Danio rerio: one gene and its partners. The protein of the gene in region 3 purifies or fractionates together with the protein of the main gene of each other region. This does not show direct contact. Links are inferred from orthologs where the notes say so. Each region holds a gene or a part of one and is shown on either strand. Other genes may lie near its edges.

Region 1 (4,010 bases), on a different chromosome or scaffold from region 3:
ATTACTCTAACCTGCCTTTAAATGTCACTTTAAGCTGTATAGAAATGTGTTGAAAAATATCTAGTAAAATATTATTTACTGTCATCATGAAAAAAATAAAATAATAGGTTATTAGAGATGTGTTATTAAATCTATTATGTTTAGAAATGTGTTGAAGAAATCTTCTCTCCGTTGAACAGAAATTAGGGAAAAAATAAACAAGCGGTCTAATAATTCAGTGGGGGGGTTTAATCATTCTGATTTCAACTGTATTTCTTAGCCACACATTTTAAATAATGTGTCATTAATTTAGAATTTTTAAAAATGTTAATAAATGTATTTTAATGTTGAATAAATTCTAAGTGTTATGGAAACAAAAAAGCCGTATAAAAAATTTTGCAGGTATTTTATTGCAGTTCTAAATGATTTAACAGAAGGTGGCTGCTTTGCCTAAATAACGACAAACTGCAAAACCTTGCTACATTTTTTTCAATGTGTTGTACCCACATAAATGTCTGCTTCCAAGACATTAGCCTCAATTTGATGTTGCTGTTTCTTCACTGTACGGGTTGTTGCCAAGATGCAGACAAAAAAAATGTGCTCACAACATCCAATCAAGCAAGAGGAAGCGAAAAACAATATGGTGTTTACAACATCACAGAGAAGGTATCATTTAAAGGTTTAAAACACACAACTGTTGATTCTAAGAATTTATTTGCACGCAATTGACAAATACTCAAAGGCAAAAAAAGTTTATTTTGTTTTTTACTCAGACATTTAAAAAGAGCATATTTTAAAACAGTAATCACAATACTGCAAAACCTCCCATCAGAATCCTATTTCAGCCTATCCCTTTTTTATACATAAACGCAGATTGTCCTTAATACTCAGCTTCATATTTTCAGGATTAGAAGAGACTGAAGATCTTAAATCTCCTATAACTACTCTGTAAATATTTAGCATTTTTTAAAGATTCATTTTAACAATGAACTCTGTGTGTAAGCTTTATCTGTTTTATATAGTTTGTTTTGCTTATTTAAGCATGTTCTGCATTTAATTCAAGTAATGATTTAAAAGTAAAAATTGTCAAGGCGTCACGTGATTCCAATAAACATGAACTAAAGAAAATAGCACTACCACTAATACTACTACTGCTAAAATAATAATAATAAAATATTATATTTATATATAATGACGACAAAACTCTCATTTCAGTATCAAGGCTGTTTTTGTAACACTGAGCCTGAAAGTCTTTTACATCTATTTCGTACTTGTACATTTTCTGATGATTTTTGGAAACAGGTTTCAGGGTTGACTTTTGATTCATTTAACAAAATAATTCACTTTGACGAATGCATGATTCTTTTTCTAAATTGTAAAACTGGCTATGATACACTCGATACACTCGATAATGAACATTTTTCTTGGGAATTTTCACATATACAAGGCAAAAGTAACGTCTATTACTCCCTCCTTTATTTTTTTTCTGTAAAGATTTAAAAATAGTTTATAATTCTTTGACCTCAATTACATGAAAGCTATAAAAACCTCTCTAATAACGAAAAAAATCTAAACAATCTAATAATTTAAATATGATAAAGCCCCCATATATATAATGTAGTTTTTTTTTAATGTATGTTTTGCATCACTAAGTTTTGTATGACTGTTGTATATGTTATCATATAATCCTTTATGCTTTGTCAGTTATATGCATTAATAAAAATAACTAAAATAATACTTTTCTGGGCTGCTTAATCCCAAAACTTCAAACTTTTTTCAACAACCATGTGGTGCAAAAAAAATAACAATAAGGCACGTGGAAATCCTGGATGACTCTGCACGCTTCTCTTCCACTACTAACGTTAGAGTTCTCTGAATTATTCAGACCGCCTCCATGCTTTCAACGACACACCCTCACTCCAAATCTCCGCCCTCTACAACCGTACCAGCCAATCCGAATGCACCAAACTACAACGCACCAAATGACTGACAGAGAGAGAACGTTTCTGATTGGGTAAAAAGGGCGGGCCGCTCCCCCAACTCTTGTTTTGCCATGTATACACAGAGTTTAGGGGTTATCAGAGCTTATCTCCCAAGATATAATCAGTCATATTTTTCAGTTAATACGAACATTTTATGCCTGGTATAACAACAATCCCGTAAAACACCTTTACATGATATTAAACATGTTTACACCGGGCGCGTGGAAGTTGAGATGCTGCTGTCACGAGCTCAGCGTGAGCGCCAGTGCGCGTGCCACTTTAGCTTAGCGCGAGCACGCTCAGCTCAGAAGCAAGGGTTGGAAATAAAAGCGTAAATGTCAGCCGTGAAATCTGGGATATCAACGGGGTCATGAGAGCGTGTCTTACCCAGGCGCGATGACCTGCCCGAGCTGACAGCACAGTTCCTGCACAACTCCAGCGCGGTCCGACTTGAGCTTCTTTTCGGGCGCTCTGGACTCGCTTTCGGCGGGGATCGGCGCACATACCGCGATCACGGAGTCAACGTTGACCAGAGCTCCGGGTTTCACCTTCCACTCGAGCAGCCGCAGGGGACGAGCTCCTGCGGGGCAGCGGATCTCCGTCACCTGCACCACGGGGCCCTCTGCTGCCGCACCGCCGCCGGAGTCTGCAGGCTCCTCCATCAGGGCTTCAAACTTCAGTCAGAGAGCCGCAGGAAGCGCTTGGGGAGAGTTAATAAAAGTAGTAAATAGCTCTGAAAATAATCCAGAGGCGCGCAGGGAAATGAAGAGATAAAAATGAGCTCTGTTGCAGGACAGGCTGAGACGCAGGTTCACTCTTCCCGCCCGTAAACAGGAAACACAAGGCTGCAGCACGAGCGACACTCTATCCACTTCCGGGAGACTTTAATAACCCTCTTTAAAAAAAAAACTGTCGTTACCCTAGAGTATTCTGTTTTAGTTTGTAATAAAATAATGACAACATTTATGCGCATAAATATTTGGCTAAATATTAAAAAAAACGCGTGAGAAATAGATGAAACATTTAAAGTCAAACTGGTGAAACAGTTACAGTCAAACTGCTGCTTCAGAGAAAATCTGACTTAAGCATTTATAGCAAACTGTTTTTATGCGTCCCCTCCCCCGTTTGAGACAGGCAAACCCCTGGCTTGTGATGTAATCTGATGAAATATCATCATCACACCATCCGCTGTCAGGGGATTAGACCGCGCGTCATCGCAGCATGTAAACATTTAGCTTCATGTGAGGGAGTGATTTCACTTTTGTTTTATTTCGGCTTGAATGTAAAACTTACTCATTCATTTAAAAAGTTACCAAAGAGGATTACTCATTTTGCTGTATATTTCTTTATTACATCAATCTTTCAGATAGCATGGACTCACAGACAGGATTGCACTTGTCCTATGTACAGAGGCGGATATAGTGATTTAGGGGCCCTAGCATTGAAACTTAAAACAGTTTCTTTAAAAAAAAAATAAAACTTTATAGATATTTTTTTCTCTTTATATTCAGGGTTGTGTGTGTGTGTGCGTATAAACTGCATATAAAATTAAATGAAGTAAATTCACAAATAAAAAAACAAGCTCACAAGCTATGTACAGTTAATTAGCCTTACTTGTGATTTGTGATTAGATTTTAATATTTTCTATTAAGTGCAGTATGAATGGAACGTTCCACTTTTCATGGGGGCCCCTGGTTTAGAAAAGAAGTAATAATGGTAAAATCTTAATGGTTCTGAACAGATTTTACAACATATGATAGAAAAAAATTGTAAAATAGCTTTAGGATTATTAAAATAGGCTTCTTGGCATTAGCTGGGAGCCCTTTATTTCCCTGGGGCCCTAAGCAGTTGCTTACCTTGTTGGTTAAGTTCACCCCAGCTATGTACAGTTGATGTCAGCCCTTCTGAATTATTAGACCTCCTGTATATTTTCCTCAGTTTCTGTTTAACAGAGAGAATACATTTTTTTCTTTCTAAAAAGTTTTTATTACTAATTTCTTATAACAGTTCTTTTATCTTTGCCATGACAGTAAATACAGGCCCGTAACC
Region 2 (4,095 bases), on a different chromosome or scaffold from region 3:
AATATTGGTGGGCGGGGGAACTGCACTCCTACGTCAAGTTGTGGTCGCTCTGAAAACCGCTCCAATTGGTCCATTTTTGTAGTGTTAAATTGGAAAAAAAAAGGGCCGTGTGTTTATATCACCCCAATATGACGGTCTATACACTATACATGCATGTCTGTCCAAACAGCTTGAAAAGTAGATTTTTCACCATAGGTGCCCTTTAACCCTATATAGTGCATCTGGAAAGTATTCATAGGGCTTCACTTTTTCTACATTTCTTTGTTACAGCCTTTTTCAAAAATTGATTAAATTAATTTATTTCCTCAACATTCTACAAACAATACCCCATAATGACAATGTAAAACAGTTTTTGAAATTGTTAGAAATTTATTAAAAATAAAAACGCTGAAAAATCAGATGTACATCAGTATTTACAGCCTTTGCCGTGAAACTCTAAATCGAGCTCAGGTACGTTCTGTTTCCACTGATCATTCTTGAGATGTTTCAGCAGCTTCATTGGAGTTCACCTGTGGTCAATTCAGTTGATTGGACATGATTTGAAAAGGCATACACCTGTCTATATACGGTCCCAGGGTTGACCTTGCAAGTCAAAGCACAAACTAAGCATGAAGACAAAGGAATTGTCTGTAGACCTCCGAAACAGGATTGTCTCAAAAAACAAGGCTGGGGAAGGTTACAGAAACATTTCTGCTGCTCTGAAAGTTCCAATGAGCACAGCGGCCTCCATCCATAAGTTGAAGATGTTTGGAACCACCAGGACTTTTCCTAGAGCTGGCTGGCCATCTAAGCTGAGGGATCGGGGAGAAGGGCCTTAGTCAGGGAGGTGATCAATAACCCAATGGTCACTCTGTCTGAGCTCCAGCGTTCTTCTGTAGAGAGAGAAGAACTTTACAGAAGGACAACCATCTGTGCAGCAATCCACCAATCAGGCCTGTATGGTAGAGTAGCCAGACAGAAGCTACCCCCCGCCTGGAATTTGCCAAAAGGCACCTAAAGGACTCTTGGATCATAAGTAACTAAATTCTCTGGTCTGATGAGACTAAAATTGAACTCTTTAGAGTGAATGCTAACGGTCTAATCTGATTCAATTCATTATGCTAAGCTAAAAGTGACCCCGCCAGAGCAAGAAATGGCTGAATGGATAAAAAAAAAAACATTTCAAGTCAGCTGTTCAACTCTAGGAGACTTGTAAAGAGAGCCTTGAAAAAGGTGCAGTGTTTCTTTAAATCATGTTTAAAAGCCCATCTTGCACCTGCTGAAACCATTTAAGTCATTTGCATTCATATGTGGACACGGAGAGTTGAGCTCAAACGGGACTGGCTGTAGTAGTTTCATATCGACGATGCAGGTTTAAAAAGGGCTTTGCATATTGTTTGTGTTCTCATGCTGTTGTACATTTATTAGTGGACGTCGTTTTTAAAAGTGTCATTTTCTGACAATGAAAAGAGCTTCAAGTATCCAACAGCTCAAAGAGCAGCTCATGCAGGCCGTCGATGCTCAAAACAATGTGAGTAAGAGCTGAGTAATGCAATGGGAAGTCCTTCTAAATGCATGTCGTTTATGCTAAATGTGTTCTTGATTGTTATTTTTTTTTATGAAAGTTTTGTCTTAAAGTTTTGTCATTTGTAAGCATGACTGTTTTTATTCCTTTAATTAATTCAGGTAAATTAAAGGACAAAAGTTCCTCACTACAGTATTTCAAATTGGTTGTTTCATTGAAAAGGAAAGATTGGCTGGTTTTATTTTATTTTTACATGTATGTTGACTGTTGGTTTGCTCAATCTGTTGTGGGATTTATTTTTTAAAGCAAGTTTTATAGACATTATTTCACAGAGTTTTACAGGAATGAGCGTGCAAGCAGATTTGCATTTGAAACCACAAATGATGACTGAAAGTGTGACTGCTCCAGGTGCACATATGAGAAAATATATGAGAACGTTCATGTCTGAAAAAGACACAGAAACTGACCTCAGTGTATAGAGGAAAATAGCAGTAAATGTAGATGATGTAGACTGAAAGTCTGAAGTGACATGAACTTAACCTTTACCTGTCAGCAGATACAGAACATGGTGGCTGTGTTGGATGTGATATGCTGTCTGGAAAGTTACCCCATGACTAAAGAGACTCTAGAGGTAAGATACTAACTCGGTATGTTTGCACAGAGTTTAATTTAGAAAATGATGTGTTGTTATATTGTGTGAAAACATGAATAAATAAGACTAAAATCACAAAGGAGGAGCACAGCAGCTTCACAAATGCAGTATATTACAAAATATGGGAAAAGGCTGAATAGTACATGCACAATTTTAAATGAAACAAACAAATGATGAATAAAAATTATATAAATTACATTTATAGAAATAATAAATAAATAAAAACGTTACTAAACCCTACAAAACATGTATTAGCTTGCTCTGATGAGCACAAAACAGCCATTCTAAAATATGCTGGAGTTATTAACACAAACTTCCTCAGGTTTAGGTTGACACAAGCCAGTATTTTATAGAGTGACCATCTTGTCTGGTTATAAAAAATCTAAATTAATTTATTTTAGGTTGAGCAGACGAAGAAAAAAAACTAATTTTCAGATTTTAATTAGCAAAGACCAGACCACCAGTGAGCACTTCAGAGAAACTCACGTCATACAGCTATTAAAATTAATGTGCCACCTTTAAAAATGTTCATTTCATTTATTCATTTTCTTGTCGGCTTAGTCCCTTTATTAATCCGGGGTCACCACAGGGGAATGAACTGCCAACTTATCCAGCAAGTTTTTTACACAGCGGACGCCCTTTCAGCCACAACTAATCTCTGGGAAACATCCACACACACATTCACACACACACTCATACACTACAGGCAATTTCGCCTACCCAATTCACCTGAACCGCATGTCTTTGGACTGTGGGGGAAACCAGAGCACCCGGAGGAAACCCACGCGAAGGCAGGGAGAACATGCAAACTCCACACAGAAACGCCAACTGAGCTGAGGTTCGAACCAGCAACCCAGCGACCTTTTTGCAGTGAGGCGACAGCACTACCTACTGCGCCACTGCCTCACCCATGTTGACATTTTCAACCATAATTATGTGTGAATGCATATTTATTTCTGCCGTTACAAAATGTTACAAATAAATTCTAACGATGATGCAGCAAATGCTACCGAAAATTACACTGCCAGTTTAGCCAATTATATTTGAACACCCCGGGTTGACTTCATGGAAAATTGCATATTTTATTCATAAATGCTCTCAAAGCATGTGTCCATGACCGAAATGGACAGTAGCGGACTCCTAAATGAGATGCAAATTCTGGAATGTGTTGTTCATCTAAAATCATATTTTGCCAACTATTTCTATAAGATTAAAATAAAATAATCAAATAAGGCGAAGCAGTGGCGCAGTAGCTAGTGCTGTCGCCTCGCAGCAAGAAGGTCACTGGGTCGAGCCTCAGCTCAGTTGGCGTTTCTGTGTGGAGTTTGCATGTTCTCCCTGCGTTCGCATGGGTTTCCTCCGGGTGCTCTGGTTTCCCCCACAGTCCAAAGACATGCGGTACAGGTGAATTGGGTAGGCTAAATTGTTCGTAGTGTATGAGCATGTGTGGATGTTTCCCAGAGATGGGTTGCGGCTGGAAGGGCATCCGCTGCGTTAAACATGTGCTGAATAAGTTGGCGGTTCATTCCGCTGTGGCGACCCTGGATTAATAAAGGGACTAAGCCGACAAGAAAATGAATGAATAATCAAATAAGATCAAGTCCTTTTCTTAAATATTCAACTTTTTAAATTTATTTTGTGGAATAACTGCCTTTATAAAAAAAACTGTATTGTAAAAGATATTATTACCTTTCTCATATTAATTTATTCATTTTCTTGTCGGCTTAATACGCAGCAGATGCCCTTCCAGCCGCAACCCATCTCTGGGAAACATTCACACACACACACAAATACACTACGGACAATTTAGCCTACCCAATTCTTCTGTACCGCATGTCTTTGGACTGTGGGGGAAACCGGAGCACCCGGAGGAAACCCACGCGAACGCAGGGAGAACATGCAAACTCCACACAGAAACGCCAACTGAGCCGAGGCTCGA
Region 3 (3,500 bases):
CAAACTCCCAGCAACAAGCAATGTCAAAACCACATGTACAGGATAATAATCTAATTATAGACAATATTAAACCTCTTTAACATTAGTAAAAGCACATGCTGAGTGACTGATGCTCGTTGGTCTGCACACCATTCTAATGTTCATTTTTAAACCATGTTGGCCAGTTAGATTATTTTCAAGATCTGACAAACCTCCGCTGCTGCTTACAGTGAGAAATCAAATGTCATGCAAAATCATATTTAAGCCCATATTAATAGTATAAAGCACATAATCAGCAGCTGAGGTGGTCATTATAGCAGGGGTGGCCAACCCTGTTCCTGGAGAGCCACCTTCCTGCAGATTTCAGTTGCAACCCATATCAAACACACCTGTCTGTAATTATCAGGTCCTAATTAATTGGTTCAGGTGTGTTTGATATGGGCTGCAACTGAAATCTGCAGGAAGGTGGCTCTCCAGCAAAAGGGTTGGCCACCCCCTGTTATAGTAAGCTGCGTCCCAAATGGCACAATATACACTTTGCACTTATGCACTATGTACTTATGCACTTACACACTCAACAGCATAGTGTATGTATGTAGTGTCGACCCAAATGGCATATTAATGTTTTTTATTAAGCGGAAATTCAAACCGTTCCCCTGATGATGTTTGACAGTTGCCAAATCAGTGAAATAAACGACCGAATTATCAAATAATACCTGCCGCGAGTATTGCCGCATTCACCATCGGGAGGCGCTATAATCACTCTCGTAGAAGAATTTTGCTTTTACAATCCGAAATAAATTTTGTTATTCAACATGTGCGCCCGATAGCTCCGCCCCTTCCGCTATGTAAGCAAACCTGCGGTCGTTGAGTGTGTGAAGTGTCCATCATTACACACTTCACTTTAGCAGCTGAATGAGTGCATCATCCGGGTAATTAAAGTGCACTTATTATTGTTAGAGTTTTCAGTGTGAACACACTACTTACACTATTGATACTACAAAATGGCGTGGAATAGTGCATTAGTATGCGATTTGGGACGCAGCTGTAGTTTATGCTGTTATTCAGCCGTGATATTGCATAAATAGAAATGGATATCTATTTCAAATAAACGTGTTTGCATGCAGAAAATGGTTTCCACAAAAACAAAGCAGCAATGTTTTAATAATCAGAAATGATTTCTAAATTTGTGCTTTATGAAACTACACTATAAACCCACACAGATGCGTTCTTTTAAATTAGAATTATAATTCACAACATATTCAGTGTTTGAGCATATCAGATCAGATCTTAAATTTATAGTTAACGTCAGCTTCATTGACTATCTTCATGGCAGAATAAATTCAGAATAATACAAATACAAAAAAATCCACAAACACAAGTGATTTATCAGACTTAATAATAAATATTTCTCTTTAAACTCAGGCAGAGTATTACTGAATGATTCTTTAAGTGAGTTTACTTCTTGAACAAATGTTTTACAAATATAAAAAAGGCCACTGAAATATGTTTGTTTAGACTTAAATAAATGCAACTAAATAAACACCGTTTTACCCTAGAAAGTAAGCCTTCTTGGTCTCGCAGAAGTCTGACACACCCACATGCGGCAGCACCTCCTTCTGCAGAACCTCTTTAGCGTATTTAATTCTCCTCTCTTTAGTGACTCCAGGTTTGGCCCCTCTGGAGCCGATGAAGTTCAGAGCCACGTTCTGCTCCTGAATCACAAACGCCTCATCCAGAGACGGCTTTACCTGTGGACAGACAGTGGAGTACGATTGAAGGTAAGTGTTGGTATTTCAGTCTGTCCTTTGTGTTATATGTGATGCACCATACCCTGTCAGAATGAATAAACCAAGGGGATTAATTACGCTCTAAACTAAACTGTATATTACTGCACAGCGCTCATGTGACATACCATTTCCATCATCTCCGGATCATCGAAGTCATAGATGATGTGCTCCAGAATGTCTCTGTCAGACACGAATCCTAAAGCGCGAAACACGATGATGATGGGCACCTCCTGCCGGATATACGGCAGCGTGGAGACGATCCTCTGACCGATGGCACTTTTCTTTACTCCCTGAAATATACAGAAATAATTGCAGAAAATTCAACACTAGCTTGGTTTCCATTACCCTGTGCTAATGCACATATTGAAGTATTAAATGATGCCAAATTTTAAACAAAAATCTCTTATTCATAAAAAACATTTTTACACTTGTTCAAAGTGGTTTTGGAATTGTGTGAAAAGGGTTAAAGCTCCTGAATGTACATAGTTTACTCCTGTAAATCATTAAAATTCAATAATATGTTTGCAGATATTTCAGAATCATGCTAAGTGACCATATTTATCTGTAAAACCATGCTAAATCAGGTATCCTGCTCTGAAAATGTGCGTTCTGTCTGGGAATGTCTGTCTTTGTTTTGATCTGTAACTCCGCCCACTGCCACTTTAACCAATTATATTTCAGCACAGCAGGTTGCCAGACGGTGGAAAACAGCGTAATTTAATTCAGTCATGAAGGCTCTAAATTAGAGGTGTGCAAACTCGGTCCTGGAGGGCCAGTGTCCTGCATATTTTAGTTCCAACCCCAATTAAACACACCTGAAACAGCTAATCAAGCTCTTACTAATTATACTAGAAACTCACTTGGACAGGGAGGTGTGTTGAGGGAAGGGGAAGTTAAACTATGCAGGACACCGGCCCTCCAGGACCGAGTTTGGACACCCCTGCTCTAAATGTATGCGGATGCAGATGAAAATGCGCCCTCTGGTGGACAGAAGCAACTGCAGAAATGAGAGACTCGAGTCTCATTCACACTACGAGCAACTCGCAGCAGCAAAGCGATAAGCAACTGTTCATTTCAATGAGAAGTGAGTGACTTCCAGCAACCTACGCCTACACGAGCGACAGTGACCGTTCGCGACCAGGTGGGTGTGTCTAGCGATGTGACAAAGTTGAGAATCCTTCTTGAGCGACAGCCAATAGGAGCACTAATAGAGCTCATGTGATCCTCTCTCAGCTCGCTCAGAGGCCGGTTGTATTCTCCGTGCTGTAGGCCTGCGTTTGCAGCAGGTCGCCACCAAGAGCGACAGGCAGATACCAAGTCACAGCTAGTGTGAATAAATCAGAGTTAAAAAAAAAATCCCTGAGGTGGTTTTAACCAGCAAATAATACACATATTACAAAGGTAACATTAGCAGGGCAGTGTACAGTACAACGTTGAGTTCACAGTAAACCTGAAGCACCGCATCACTCGCTCTAGTTTACTCACGGATGTTTTTCACCTAAAACTAACTTTCTGCTTAGTTAAAAATTGATTTGAATTTGTGTAGAAGATGCCATTAGGACAAACTCCACACTTTCACGATAAATGCACTGCAAATTATGCCTCGTTCACTGCCTCCAGATGGAATGGTTGCTTCATATGTAATTACCAGAGTGAATACTTCATTTTAGTTTTAGCTCGCTCCTGTTAGTGTCGTCAATCTGGCAACCTGCATGTGCTTCAGTCTAAAGG
Region 4 (3,424 bases), on a different chromosome or scaffold from region 3:
TCATTTTCTTTTCAGCTTAGTCCCTTTATTAATCAGGGGTCGCCACAGTGGAATGAACCGCCAACTTATCCAGCATATCTTTTACACAGAGGATGCCCTTCCAGCCTTTTCCCATCTCTGGGAAATAATAATAATAATAATAATATATTTTCATAATTCTGTTTAAATGCATCCACTGTTGTTGGGAGGCCTTTAAAAATGTGCACTGAATATTATAAACACTCACCCCATTTCTGATGTTCTTCTCCCATCGTAAAGACATGTTTCTAAGATCGAACAGCTTGATGTCGCCGTTATCATATCCAGCGCACACACAGCGGTCTTGATCATTGAAAGCATGACCTAGAGGAAAAAAAGCAAGGCAAAGTGTGAGATTTACTCTGTGTTTTTTAGTCAGAACACATACAAAACATTTAGTAAATCTCTGTTTATAACTAATATTATAACAGTCTGTTGTGCATGCCTTTAGTTTCCTAAGATTTAAAGAGTTTTTGTTGAAAAAACAGTATGTATAGAACTAGAGGCACATTATATGAAATATGCGGCTAAGAAATAATTAATTAAACAATAGTAATTACAGTTTTTAAATGTTTTTAAACATCAGTAGTGTTTACCCCTATACAAGTCTGAAATTTCATTATTGATGCTCTTGAAAAGGCTTAAATTTGACTTGGTGAAACTTGCAGAAACCCTGAAAATACACATAAAAAGAAAGAAAACCCAATGCTGATCTTCAGTCAATATTGGAGGGACCGGTGACTTTTAAGCGTGAGAAATAAAAGCTGTGGTGTGTGAGCGTGTGAACTGGCTCAAATGCGTGTCCAGACTTGAGATTGTGATTAAATTAATTAAACTGAATCTTAATAAGTGTAAATAAATAAGGTGTAAAGGAGGCCAGGGTTATCAAATCCTGAATTCTTTCCTCTTCTCCATGATGACAGCACATAATATTAGACTAGATATTCTTCAAGACAGTAGTATTCAGCTTAAAGTGCATGTAAAGGCTTCACTAGGGTAATTAGGGTAAAGTTAGAGTAATTAGGCAAGTCATTGTATAACAGTGGTTTGTTCTTAAACAGTAAAAACTGAACCACCCTGATCCAGTTACTATGACCATTTATGTGAAGCTGCTTTGACACGATCTACATTGTAAAAGCGCTGTACAAATAAAGCTGAATTGAATTGATTTCTGCACACAATCCAAAACTAATATTGCTGAAGGGGCGAATAATATTGACCTTAAAATGACTTTAAAACTATTAAAAACTGCTTTTATTCTAGCTGAAATAAAACAAATCAGACTTTCTTTAGAAGACCAAATATTAGAGGAAACACTGAATCTGTTCAACATCATTTGGGGAAAATTGGAAAAAGAAAACCGGGAAAATATGAGTCCTGTCGATAACAAAACCAGTTGATGACCACTTAAACAGACGAGCTTTAAAAGATTTGTATGACCATTTCTAATTTGTTGGTAAAAAAAGAAAAGAAAGAAGGGCAAACAAACGTAAAACTCTGAAAAAGAATAAAACATTAACTCATGAACTAACTCTTGTGTGTGTGTGTAACGCAAGATTAACAATCACAGACCGAAAGCGACCGTCCAGCAGTCCCTCTTGGTTTCTCCCTCTGTGGGCTCCATGTTGACCACCGGCGTGTCTTTCTGCCGGGAGTCCCACACCTTCACTGTGCCTATTAATAAAACCACACGCAATCAAAATCCGAAGCGCAAACATTTCTAAGCGCAGTCAGTTTTCTATAAATATGTGTATCAGAGCAATTCCAGCGTTATGGTTGTGACATTTGCAGTAAAAACTCGAAATATAAATTCACAGAGTAAGTATATGTGAACATTATATCGAAACATCTGTTTATGTGTACCAAAACAACTCACTAAAGAGTTATGAGATCAGACAAATAGCAATCTGTAAACATATTTTATATTTTTAATGAGGGAAATAATCATGCATTATGGATGTGACCAAAAAAAGTCTGCGAGTTTACAGAATACAACATGCTTTGTAGACATTCAGTGAATTAAACTGCACAACCCAAAAGAAAGAATGCTAATCAAAAGGAGAAGAGTTGTCTCAATATACGGTAGAACAAACATGATTGATTTTATTTTACATGACATTTTTGCATGTATGAGGAAAAAGCTTGGTTATGGATGTGACGTCTCTCTGTTATGCATGAGACAGATGTGAAATTGGCTTTGGTAAATCAAAAATAATAGTTTGAAAACACCGACAGAGACATTTTTGAGTAGTTTACACAATTGCAAAACACTTAGAAAGGGTGAAAGCTTTGTTGACATTTGCATGCGATTTCTCGTCTGCAGAAATCCGCCTATTTACCGTCTCTACTTCCAGTGACGATCTCTGGAGCCCCGTCCCCGATGCCCAGTCCTCCCACTCCGTCAATGGCGTTTATGATCTCCTTGTGTGCTTTAACTGAGTACACCGGGCTGTCGGGCACTTCCAGATTCCTGAAGAGCAAAGATTACGCAATACTGCACTTTAAATAACAACATAATAGATAACCACAAACATAACCACATCCAGCGGGCTCCTACCAAACGTTAAGATTTCCGTCAAAGTCTCCGGTGGCCAGATGCCTCTGCTGGAGAGACGTGGCTCCAAACGTCCCACACTTGATTGGCTTGGATTTTTCTATCTAGAATATTGAAAAGTATGTTTATTAAACATCAATAATGCACAATACATCATATCAATATGTATATTGTTTTTGTCACAGGAGCAATAGTGAGGATGACTGGAGAAGGACAGGCTTGATCTGGCCAATGGCAGCAGTATTACAGATTCTGAGGTGCTGTACGGGTCAAACACCTGCAGCGCGAAGTAAATATTCACTTCTAAAAGGCTTACAGTAGGCTTATGTATTAAATACATTCACAAAGACGAAAACGAATGGTTAGTTTCAGTCAGTTTAATGTGTTCACATTACAGTTTCAGTCCGTTTTTGTTTTTTATAAACGTTTGTTTTTTATTTTTATTTCAAGTAAACGTAAATGATTGTTTTGTTTTTCATTAACTATAATAACTCTATTGGTTAATGGACAGACGGCTGCTTCTCACTCAGGGCTGCTGTTTACGTTAATGAAGGAGAGATGGGCACTAGTGGGCGGGGCTTCCCCCCTTTGATGACACGTACAAAGGGAGAATGTCAATCAAAGTGTTTCTGCAATCTACTACAATGGTAGGAAAATTTTGTTTCTCTGCAGCTTCTTCAAACAAATCAATACGATCTTTATTTCTTCATGGAATTGTGTCAGTTTCAAATGTGACTTTTTATTGGAATTCTTTCGTTTCTGATGTTGATTGCTGAAAAATATGGCTCATCCCAAATAGCTACTTAATTACATGTTAGATAAGTTTCATTTTGAATTATACATCGTACATAC
Region 5 (3,500 bases), on a different chromosome or scaffold from region 3:
TAAAACTGAATCCTCATCTTTAGTCTCCTCCCAAAACCAAAATGAAGCCAAATTATTATCCGAGCAGTAAAAACTAAAAACCTACAGGTATCAGACAAAGCAAAAGAGAGTCGCTTTCCACAGCAAAGTCACGGCAAAACAAAATCTCGGCGTCGGATTTAGTGATGAGTGGACCGGCGGGTTTTGGAAATCTCCATACGCTTGTTATTGTTATCATTAATCCGCTCTGCTCTGCTCTGCTCTGCCAGTGTCTGTGAGTCTCAGAAATGAAATGTTCAGTCGGTGGAAAACAGATCTCCAGCAGACGGCAGCGGAGCCAGGCCGCCCGTCACATTCGGGAGCAGAGAAAGATCTGGAAGACTCTGGATGTGTGATTTCAGCTCCTTCCTCACTTGTGTGACACGAGCCAGTTTCTGCTTGTATTCCTGCAAAAACACACCGGATAAATCAACACACAAGGGCTGCACCATATTGGAAACATCTGATATGGTGATATTTAATTTTTCTGTGATAAATATTGCGATATGAAGTGTCTTGAAGAATATCTAGTCAAATATTACGTGCTGTCATCATGGCAAAGATTAAAGAAATCAGGTATAAGAAAAGAGTCATTAAAACTGTCGTTTAGAAATGTGTTGAAGAAAATCTTCTCTCAGTTAAACAGAACTTGTAAGAACTGGTAAAAATTGAGTTTAAGTGAGATTTTCCTTAAAGGAGAAATAAAGCACTCAGTCAAGTTTACTTTATTTTGTATACTTTAATGAAAATATATTAAACAAACTCGATTAATGCAACCATTTAGAACAAAATGGAGTGTTTTACTATAAATTTTAGACCTAGGGCGCCGCCAGCTTGGAATGTTGCTGTGTCTGACGTCACGGGGTTGGTTCCGTTCCCTCGGCTAAACATATACAGTAAAAGTAAAGAAGATTGTAAAGCCTAATTTAACCCAAAAGGTGAAGTTGTGGATTTGCTGCTGCAAATACAAGCATCAGATGTGTGTCTAATGTAAAGTTATATATATTTATTCTATTTTTTTTTTTCTATTTTAAGTAAAGAACGGAACAACCCTGTGACGTCAGACACCTCGACATTCCAAGATGGCGGCTCCCTAGGTCTAAAATCTATAGTTAAAAAACGCTGTTTTCTGCTAAATGGTTACAGTAATAGAGTTTAACATAGTTTCATTAAAGTGTAAATCCCATGTACAAAATAATATAAACTTGACCGAGTGCTTCATTTCCCATTTAAAACAAGCTAAATAATCTACCAATAAGGTAAGCAATAATGTGATTAAGCCAAAACAAGATTTTACTTACATCACTGGCTGGTTATTTTGCTTGTTTTAAGGAAAAACTCTCTTCATTGTCATTTTATTTAGGAAGACACGACAATAATTTCTATTTGTCTAGAAAAATTTCTCGATTTAAGAATTATTTATTTGGCATGCTTTAAGTTTTTTTTTTAAATGTATTTATTAAAATTATTATTATATTTTTTTATTTCTCTGATTTTGAGGTTTTCTTCTCTCTTTGCTTTTGGTTAAGTAAAAAAAGTTTGTTAATGTTTGTACAATATGATTTATAATAATAATAATAATAATAATAATAATAATAATACCTTTTATTTAGGTGCCTGTCTAGACACTCAAGGCCACCAAACAAGACAACAAGGACAGTCAGTTCAAATAAAAACACAATATAAAAGTCAATAAAATGCAAAAAAAATAAAAATAAAAATTGTTTTACACATACAGTTGAAGTCAGAATTATTCACCCTCCTGTATTTTCTTCTTTCTCTATTATTTCCCAAATGATGTTAAACAGATTCAGGAAATTTTCACAGTATTTCCTCTAATATTTTTTCCTCTATAGAAAGTCCTATTTGTTTTATTTTTGGCAAGAATCAAAGCAGTTTTTAATTTTTTAAAAGTCAACATTATTCGCCCCCTAAAGCAATATTTGTTTTTGGATAGTCTACAGAACAAACCACTGTTATACAATGACTTGCCTAATTACCCTAACCGTACCCTAATTAACCTAGTTAAGCCTTTAAATGTCACTTTAAGCTGTATAGAAGTGTCTTGAATAAACATCTAGTCAAATATTATTTACTGTCATCATGACAAAGATGAAATAAATCAGTTAATAGAAATGAGTTATAAAACTATTATGTTTAGAAATGTGTTGGAAACGATCTCTCTGTTAAACATAAATTGAGGGGAAAAAAAGATGTGTATGTGGTACCTCCAGCTTCTTCTCTCTTTCGTTGAGCGCGTCTTTCTGGCTCTGTATGTATTCGGTCAGCATTCGGGCCAGTTGTCTGCGGTCCTCCAGCTCCGCGGCCAGACGTCCATTATATTCAGCCAGCAGCAGACAGGCCTCGTCCACCGTCTTTGACAGCTTATCTGCTGCCTGTTTATCTGCTGACACAAACAACAACCAAACGAAGAGATTCATGCAAACCACAATGAGCAAGATAATGATCGAGTCAACACATTTCTGCTTTATATTAGTATATCCTCAAACACGTTAGCATTCACACGATAAACGCAAAATAGCCCCAATGTACATTAAACATTGAGGGTTTTTGATAATTAGCTTCGATGCATTGAGTAACACAGCTATAAGTGAATGAAAACATCCAGCTGAGGGTTAAATCTAAAAGTGCAGCATGTTTAAAACTATTGATTCTTTAGCAAAATAGTTGACTCAGAGTTACATATTACATAACCATTACACACTGTGATAAAGCCTGGTTTGTTAGTTCGTTGGCTCATATTGCTTTATCAATACAACCAAACTGCTCCAGAGTTCGTATCAACCAAGGCGAGACCATCTCATTCAGGCGATCTCAGTCCGACTGACTTGGTGCGGATCAGAACACGATTACACTATTCACATATTTCCAAACGAACTGAGCTGACAGGACAAACGTGCCAAGATAAGAAACAAACGGCTAGGTGTGAAAGCACCCTTAAACTTGATCTTAACCTGTTATCTTCTCCAGCAGAGAGACGTCCTGCACCTCCTGCGGAAGAGATGCGATCTTCTGTCTGACGGCGGCGTCTCCTGAAGCAGCGTTTTCTAGATCCTGCAGAGCTTTCACCAGGTCCTCCGTCTGCCAGATCAACACAATCAAGACATTAAGACTCAATCCCAATTATATTGTATAACCCCTACTTCAAATATACCCCTAAGAAATAGGACAGCACTACTACATCATCAAATGCCGTCGCAAACTCTTTCTTTAAATGAGATCGATGATGCCGACTGCTGTAGATTTTCCAGTTGTGCTCTTTTTTTTTGGTCTTTATCTTCAGGAAATCACCAAAAGCAACAATATTATGTTATCATATCGATACAATGCGGCAATAAGCTCATAACTGTACACCGTGTATTTACACCGTGGCCATATTCATCAATTTAAACACATAAACAACATTAACATTATAGCAGACACTGTATAAAGCCCATTCTCAGCCACTACACTTTTCTGAC
Region 6 (4,254 bases), on a different chromosome or scaffold from region 3:
AGCTTAGTCTATAAAGGTTGGAGCTGCTTCTCCTTTGAGGAGTTTTTAGCCAAATCCAGCACTGAACTAAGAGAGATTCTAGAAGCTGTCCTTTGTTAAATGCTAGCTATATTTATTTTTTATAATTTTCTGGAACATATTTAAGTTAAATTGTAAACAATTCTCTTTATGCAGAAACAGAACAAGCTCTGAGGAAATTTGGACGGCATTTTAGCTTTCTCTGCTATAACATTACAGCGCCTTTGGCCACACCCCTTCGCTGCATGATGTAAATGCATGTAACCTGAAGCATTTAGCTCATTAACCTGGATGTATTTTTTTGTTGTCCCCTGTAGGCTTTGCTAAGCTAACTCTGTAAAAGCAATGTCTCGCTTTGCATTGAACTTTGAGCGTATAACATTCAGGGATGTTGTTTATGTTCACATAGCTACATTACACATTAACTAAAGTTTATATTATGATATCGTAGTGGACCACCCCTTTAAAACTACTCTTGTTCATCTGAATGAAGAGTAAACATTAAGGATGGCTTGAAAGCGAGTCAATTATGGGGTAATTTTACATTTTTGGTTAACTGTTCCTTTAATGCATCTTCTACAGTACATAGATAATTCACAAAGTAGAGTTTGGGTTAGATGCTACTGTATAAAGTTCACCTGGTTCTTCTCGTCCACTAGGATGCTGAGAACCTGAGCACTGTCACCTTGCTCAATGCAAGTACTTCCAGCAGCAGTGAACAAATCGTAATCTTCTGGTGCGAAGCTTTCATCCTTGACTGTTTGCTGCAAAAAGAGTGAATACACACGTAAATGACTGCAGGTGATTTAATGCGAGTGTACTGGAGCACACATTAAGACACTTACACATCTCTGGACCATATCACTGAGCTGATCTAGAGCCATGCTGATGCTCCGAAACGCCTTCTGTATGAAGATAATGTGATGTTACAGTCACTCTAGCAGTATACTAAAGCAGTGATGGTGCAAAGACAAGCTCGCACTGACGTCACGATCAATCATGACATCTTCATAAAAAGCAGTTCACTGTCACACACAGTCCAACTCAATCATCATTAAACACACACACACAGAATAACACATATCGAGATGATAAAAGCAAAACATTCATAAATGGACCTCACTCGTCCTCAAAGAGATGTCAAACTGCTTCTTGTAGGTTAGTTATTAGCAAGATAGCTAACGTTAAAATGCTCTAAAGGACTTGAGTTCGTTGAGAGAGAGGAGAACTAAACGTTCGCGTAGTTTTGTTTAAGCTAGGCTACTGCTTTGTTTTGTGAATATTATATAGGTCTACTTAACGACATAGAAATTGAAGGAGCGCGCTTACTCAGGTTCTATACTTCAAGCAGCGTCGCATGTTTAGAAACTGAAGCGGATTGTGCTGGATGAAGCGTGTCACACACGGCTTGCCGTAGTGCTCCGATGTAAGCGGAAGGAGTTTTGTTTTGATAAAACAAGCATGGATGCCGGTGAAGTGACAAGAAAGAGTCGGCCCTCAAAGTCCAAGAAGAAAGGTGTGGTATATATATAAAGTTACATGGACTTTTTCATTTATATGTTTGAATTTTAACAAAATGTTTGTACGTTTAATCTGAATTTTAGGTGGAAAGGGAACCCAAGCTATTTCAGCAGAGGATGAAGCGAAAAGGTGTGCATTAACTTCACTTGCACTTGCACTTGATTTTGAGTAGTAATTACATCTAGATTAAAGATATCTGGACTAACTTTGAATCTGGCTTTAGAAAGCCTGACTAGTTAGTTTACTGTAGTTTTAATCGCTTATGAAACGTTAAGGGTTTGTGAGTAATATAAAATATAGATATGTAAATATAAATATGTAATATAAAATGTATAGTACATTGGCATAACAGTTACTGGCTTAAGTTATTATACGTTAGTTATTACAATCGGGGATGGGAAGTATTTGTGATGCATGTATTTCAAATACGTATTTTAAATACAATAGTATTTTGTAATTTGCCTTTGATTAGGTTCATGAAAAAGGCTTAATATTTTGTATCAAAATACTTTAGTTTCTTGTATTTTTAAAATGCTTTGTAAAAAGTCTACTTGATGACATGATGGCTTTAGATTAGATTAGAAAATTTATAAATATTGGAGTTGATCAATGCTTGGAGTATGGATGAAAATTCTGCATCACATATAAAGAAAGTAACAGACAAATAGCTGGGGTAAATGCAGGAGCAGGTCAAAATCAGACAAGAATATAAGACAAACAACATAAAAAGTGGCGATACCTACAAAAAATAATTGGCTGTTTCAAATGCCAGTAGCTGATCTGCAGGTGCTCTTTATAGTTAATTACTAACTTTAACATAATAGACAAAAATATTAAATAATACTCCAAAACTTCCTAATTTTTGAGATATCGTGTTGATATGGTGTTTTGAAGAGTACAATTGCAAAAAAAAAAAAAAAAAAAAGATTTTTGGAAATTACTAAAACTGGAAACTTTTGTAGTTTTCAGAAATCATGATTTTATATTGAGTATTGAAGATTTCAATTGCAAAAATGTTGAAAAATATGACTTTTAACAGATGGTTGCAATTTTCACAATCAAGAGATATAGTATTCCAACTCATCTGCAATAAATGGTTTTTACCTAAAGTTTGTTAAAATATTAATGACAAAAGAAAATGGCTTGCTCTACAAATATATAATTTATTATGGCAAGAACATTTTGGAATAAGGCTGTAACATAAAAAATGTGGAAAAAGTGAAGCGCTATGAATAGTTTCCAGATGCACTGTATGTGTATAAAAAGTGTATAGCAAGTAGTGATGTTCGTTTCACAAGTACTATCATTAAGTGCTCCTAAGATAGATTGCTTGAGGGAAGAAACTGTTTCGGTGTCAGGCTGTTCTGGTGCATAGTGCTTTGTAGCATTGACCAGAAGTTAAAAGTTGGCAGGGTGAGGCTGTGTGCTGGGTGTGAGGGGTCCAAAGTGATTTTGGCAGCCCTTCTGCTCGCTTTGGATAAGTACAGTATTTGTAAAGTCGGGAGGATTGTACCAGTGATTCGCTCAGCAGACTAAACTATTCAGCGTAGTCTTCAGAGGTCAGATTTGGTAGCTGAGCTAAACAAGACAGTTATTGAAATGCAGTGGACTTTAGTTTCAATGATGGAAATGTAGAACTGTTTCAGCCGCTCCTTTGGAAGGTTGAACTGCCTCTGCTGACAAAGAAAGTACAGCCTTTTTTGAGCTTTCACATTGCAAATTAAAATATTTAAAACCTTTGATATAAAGTGTAATGTTTGCAGGAGGGAAGCTGTTAAAGAACAACTCCGACAGAAGCTTGAGTTGGAGCGTAAAGCCCGGCAGGTGGTTGAGCGGCTGTTGGAGGACAGCGTGACAGAAGAGTTCCTCATGGACTGTGTAAGGCACTTATTTAGCCTCCAAACACTTCAGATGGATATTTAAAATTATTTGTTGTGATCCATTGAGAGAATGTCCTACTTTTTTTTTTGTTCTACTTTAGGCCTGGCACATCACTCCTGCCAACTACAAAGACACTGTGGAAGAACGATCCATTGCTAAACTGTGTGGATATCCCATGTGCCCAAATAAATTAACTAATGTAAGAAGTTTGTGAATTCTCACACTCGAAATTTACTAAAAAAACTTCAGTTTTTTTTTTTTCTTTGTTGTTATTGTTCTTTCTTTTTTATTAATGGTATTATACTAATTCCAGGTGCCCACTCAACAATATAAAATATCCACCAAGACAAATAAAGTCTATGATATTACAGAGCGTAAGGTGTGTTTTTCTTTAATTGTTCTCTTTTTTTCTGTATTTTATTAATGATTGGAGATTAATTAGTTGTTCTGTGTGTGTTTTTTCCCCCAGTGCTTTTGCAGTAATTTCTGCTACAAAGCCTCCAAAAGTTTTGAGCTCCAGATATCAAAGATTCCACTTTGGCTTCGAAAGGAGGAGAGGTAGTGTATTTGTTAATTTAATTGTCAATTAATTTATTACTAGAAAACTGTTTATTTGAATTTTTAAAACATTATTAATGAAATTTATTCAGTATACACAGTCTAAACATAAATACTAACATATTTTATTTAATAGTAAATATTTACTGTATAGTTTTAGTATATTTGAAACGTTTTGGGTCTAAAATATGTAATATTTTGTAAAGAAATGTTCTTTGAAGAATGAAGTTTCCTTTGGACAAAAACAGTCTAATTATAGACCATTTCAATGTGGGG

What was found.
Region 1: the proteins of polr2b (region 3) and ctdp1 purify together in Homo sapiens (affinity purification with mass spectrometry; 3 studies listed by BioGRID and IntAct, with this or other methods). This does not show direct contact. The link is inferred for Danio rerio from reciprocal best matches to the Homo sapiens genes POLR2B and CTDP1.
Region 2: the proteins of polr2b (region 3) and mediator of RNA polymerase II transcription subunit 26-like purify together in Homo sapiens (affinity purification with mass spectrometry; 3 studies listed by BioGRID and IntAct, with this or other methods). This does not show direct contact. The link is inferred for Danio rerio from reciprocal best matches to the Homo sapiens genes POLR2B and MED26.
Region 4: the proteins of polr2b (region 3) and dnaaf10 purify together in Homo sapiens (affinity purification with mass spectrometry; 3 studies listed by BioGRID and IntAct, with this or other methods). This does not show direct contact. The link is inferred for Danio rerio from reciprocal best matches to the Homo sapiens genes POLR2B and DNAAF10.
Region 5: the proteins of polr2b (region 3) and rprd1b purify together in Homo sapiens (affinity purification with mass spectrometry; 4 studies listed by BioGRID and IntAct, counting the BioPlex papers as one, with this or other methods). This does not show direct contact. The link is inferred for Danio rerio from reciprocal best matches to the Homo sapiens genes POLR2B and RPRD1B.
Region 6: the proteins of polr2b (region 3) and rpap2 purify together in Homo sapiens (affinity purification with mass spectrometry; 3 studies listed by BioGRID and IntAct, with this or other methods). This does not show direct contact. The link is inferred for Danio rerio from reciprocal best matches to the Homo sapiens genes POLR2B and RPAP2.

Annotation. Positions count from the first base shown.
Region 1 is NC_133194.1:12,947,668-12,951,677, forward strand, and holds the start of ctdp1 (RNA polymerase II subunit A C-terminal domain phosphatase), read right to left. Parts: upstream 2,801-4,010; 5' UTR 2,624-2,800; coding exon 2,349-2,623; intron 1-2,348. UniProt on the Homo sapiens protein: Processively dephosphorylates 'Ser-2' and 'Ser-5' of the heptad repeats YSPTSPS in the C-terminal domain of the largest RNA polymerase II subunit. This promotes the activity of RNA polymerase II.
Region 2 is NC_133186.1:5,668,140-5,672,234, forward strand, and holds the start of mediator of RNA polymerase II transcription subunit 26-like, read left to right. Parts: upstream 1-1,295; 5' UTR 1,296-1,441; coding exon 1,442-1,510; intron 1,511-2,057; coding exon 2,058-2,135; intron 2,136-4,095. UniProt on the Homo sapiens protein: Component of the Mediator complex, a coactivator involved in the regulated transcription of nearly all RNA polymerase II-dependent genes.
Region 3 is NC_133189.1:58,465,461-58,468,960, forward strand, and holds part of polr2b (DNA-directed RNA polymerase II subunit RPB2), read right to left. Parts: intron 2,060-3,500; coding exon 1,895-2,059; intron 1,731-1,894; coding exon 1,534-1,730; intron 1-1,533. UniProt on the Homo sapiens protein: Catalytic core component of RNA polymerase II (Pol II), a DNA-dependent RNA polymerase which synthesizes mRNA precursors and many functional non-coding RNAs using the four ribonucleoside triphosphates as substrates.
Region 4 is NC_133188.1:1,040,948-1,044,371, reverse strand, and holds part of dnaaf10 (dynein axonemal assembly factor 10), read right to left. Parts: intron 2,677-3,424; coding exon 2,576-2,676; intron 2,489-2,575; coding exon 2,358-2,488; intron 1,693-2,357; coding exon 1,591-1,692; intron 343-1,590; coding exon 227-342; intron 1-226. UniProt on the Homo sapiens protein: Key assembly factor specifically required for the stability of axonemal dynein heavy chains in cytoplasm.
Region 5 is NC_133198.1:46,851,370-46,854,869, forward strand, and holds part of rprd1b (regulation of nuclear pre-mRNA domain-containing protein 1B), read right to left. Parts: intron 3,121-3,500; coding exon 2,994-3,120; intron 2,426-2,993; coding exon of another isoform or gene 2,423-2,425; coding exon 2,247-2,422; intron 426-2,246; coding exon 276-425; 3' UTR 1-275. UniProt on the Homo sapiens protein: Interacts with phosphorylated C-terminal heptapeptide repeat domain (CTD) of the largest RNA polymerase II subunit POLR2A, and participates in dephosphorylation of the CTD by RPAP2. Transcriptional regulator which enhances expression of CCND1.
Region 6 is NC_133177.1:11,243,061-11,247,314, reverse strand, and holds the start of rpap2 (putative RNA polymerase II subunit B1 CTD phosphatase rpap2), read left to right. Parts: upstream 1-1,454; 5' UTR 1,455-1,479; coding exon 1,480-1,534; intron 1,535-1,622; coding exon 1,623-1,668; intron 1,669-3,302; coding exon 3,303-3,417; intron 3,418-3,520; coding exon 3,521-3,619; intron 3,620-3,733; coding exon 3,734-3,799; intron 3,800-3,889; coding exon 3,890-3,978; intron 3,979-4,254. Other genes in the region: glmna (glomulin, FKBP associated protein a), read right to left, coding at 657-782, 864-923, 1,123-1,128.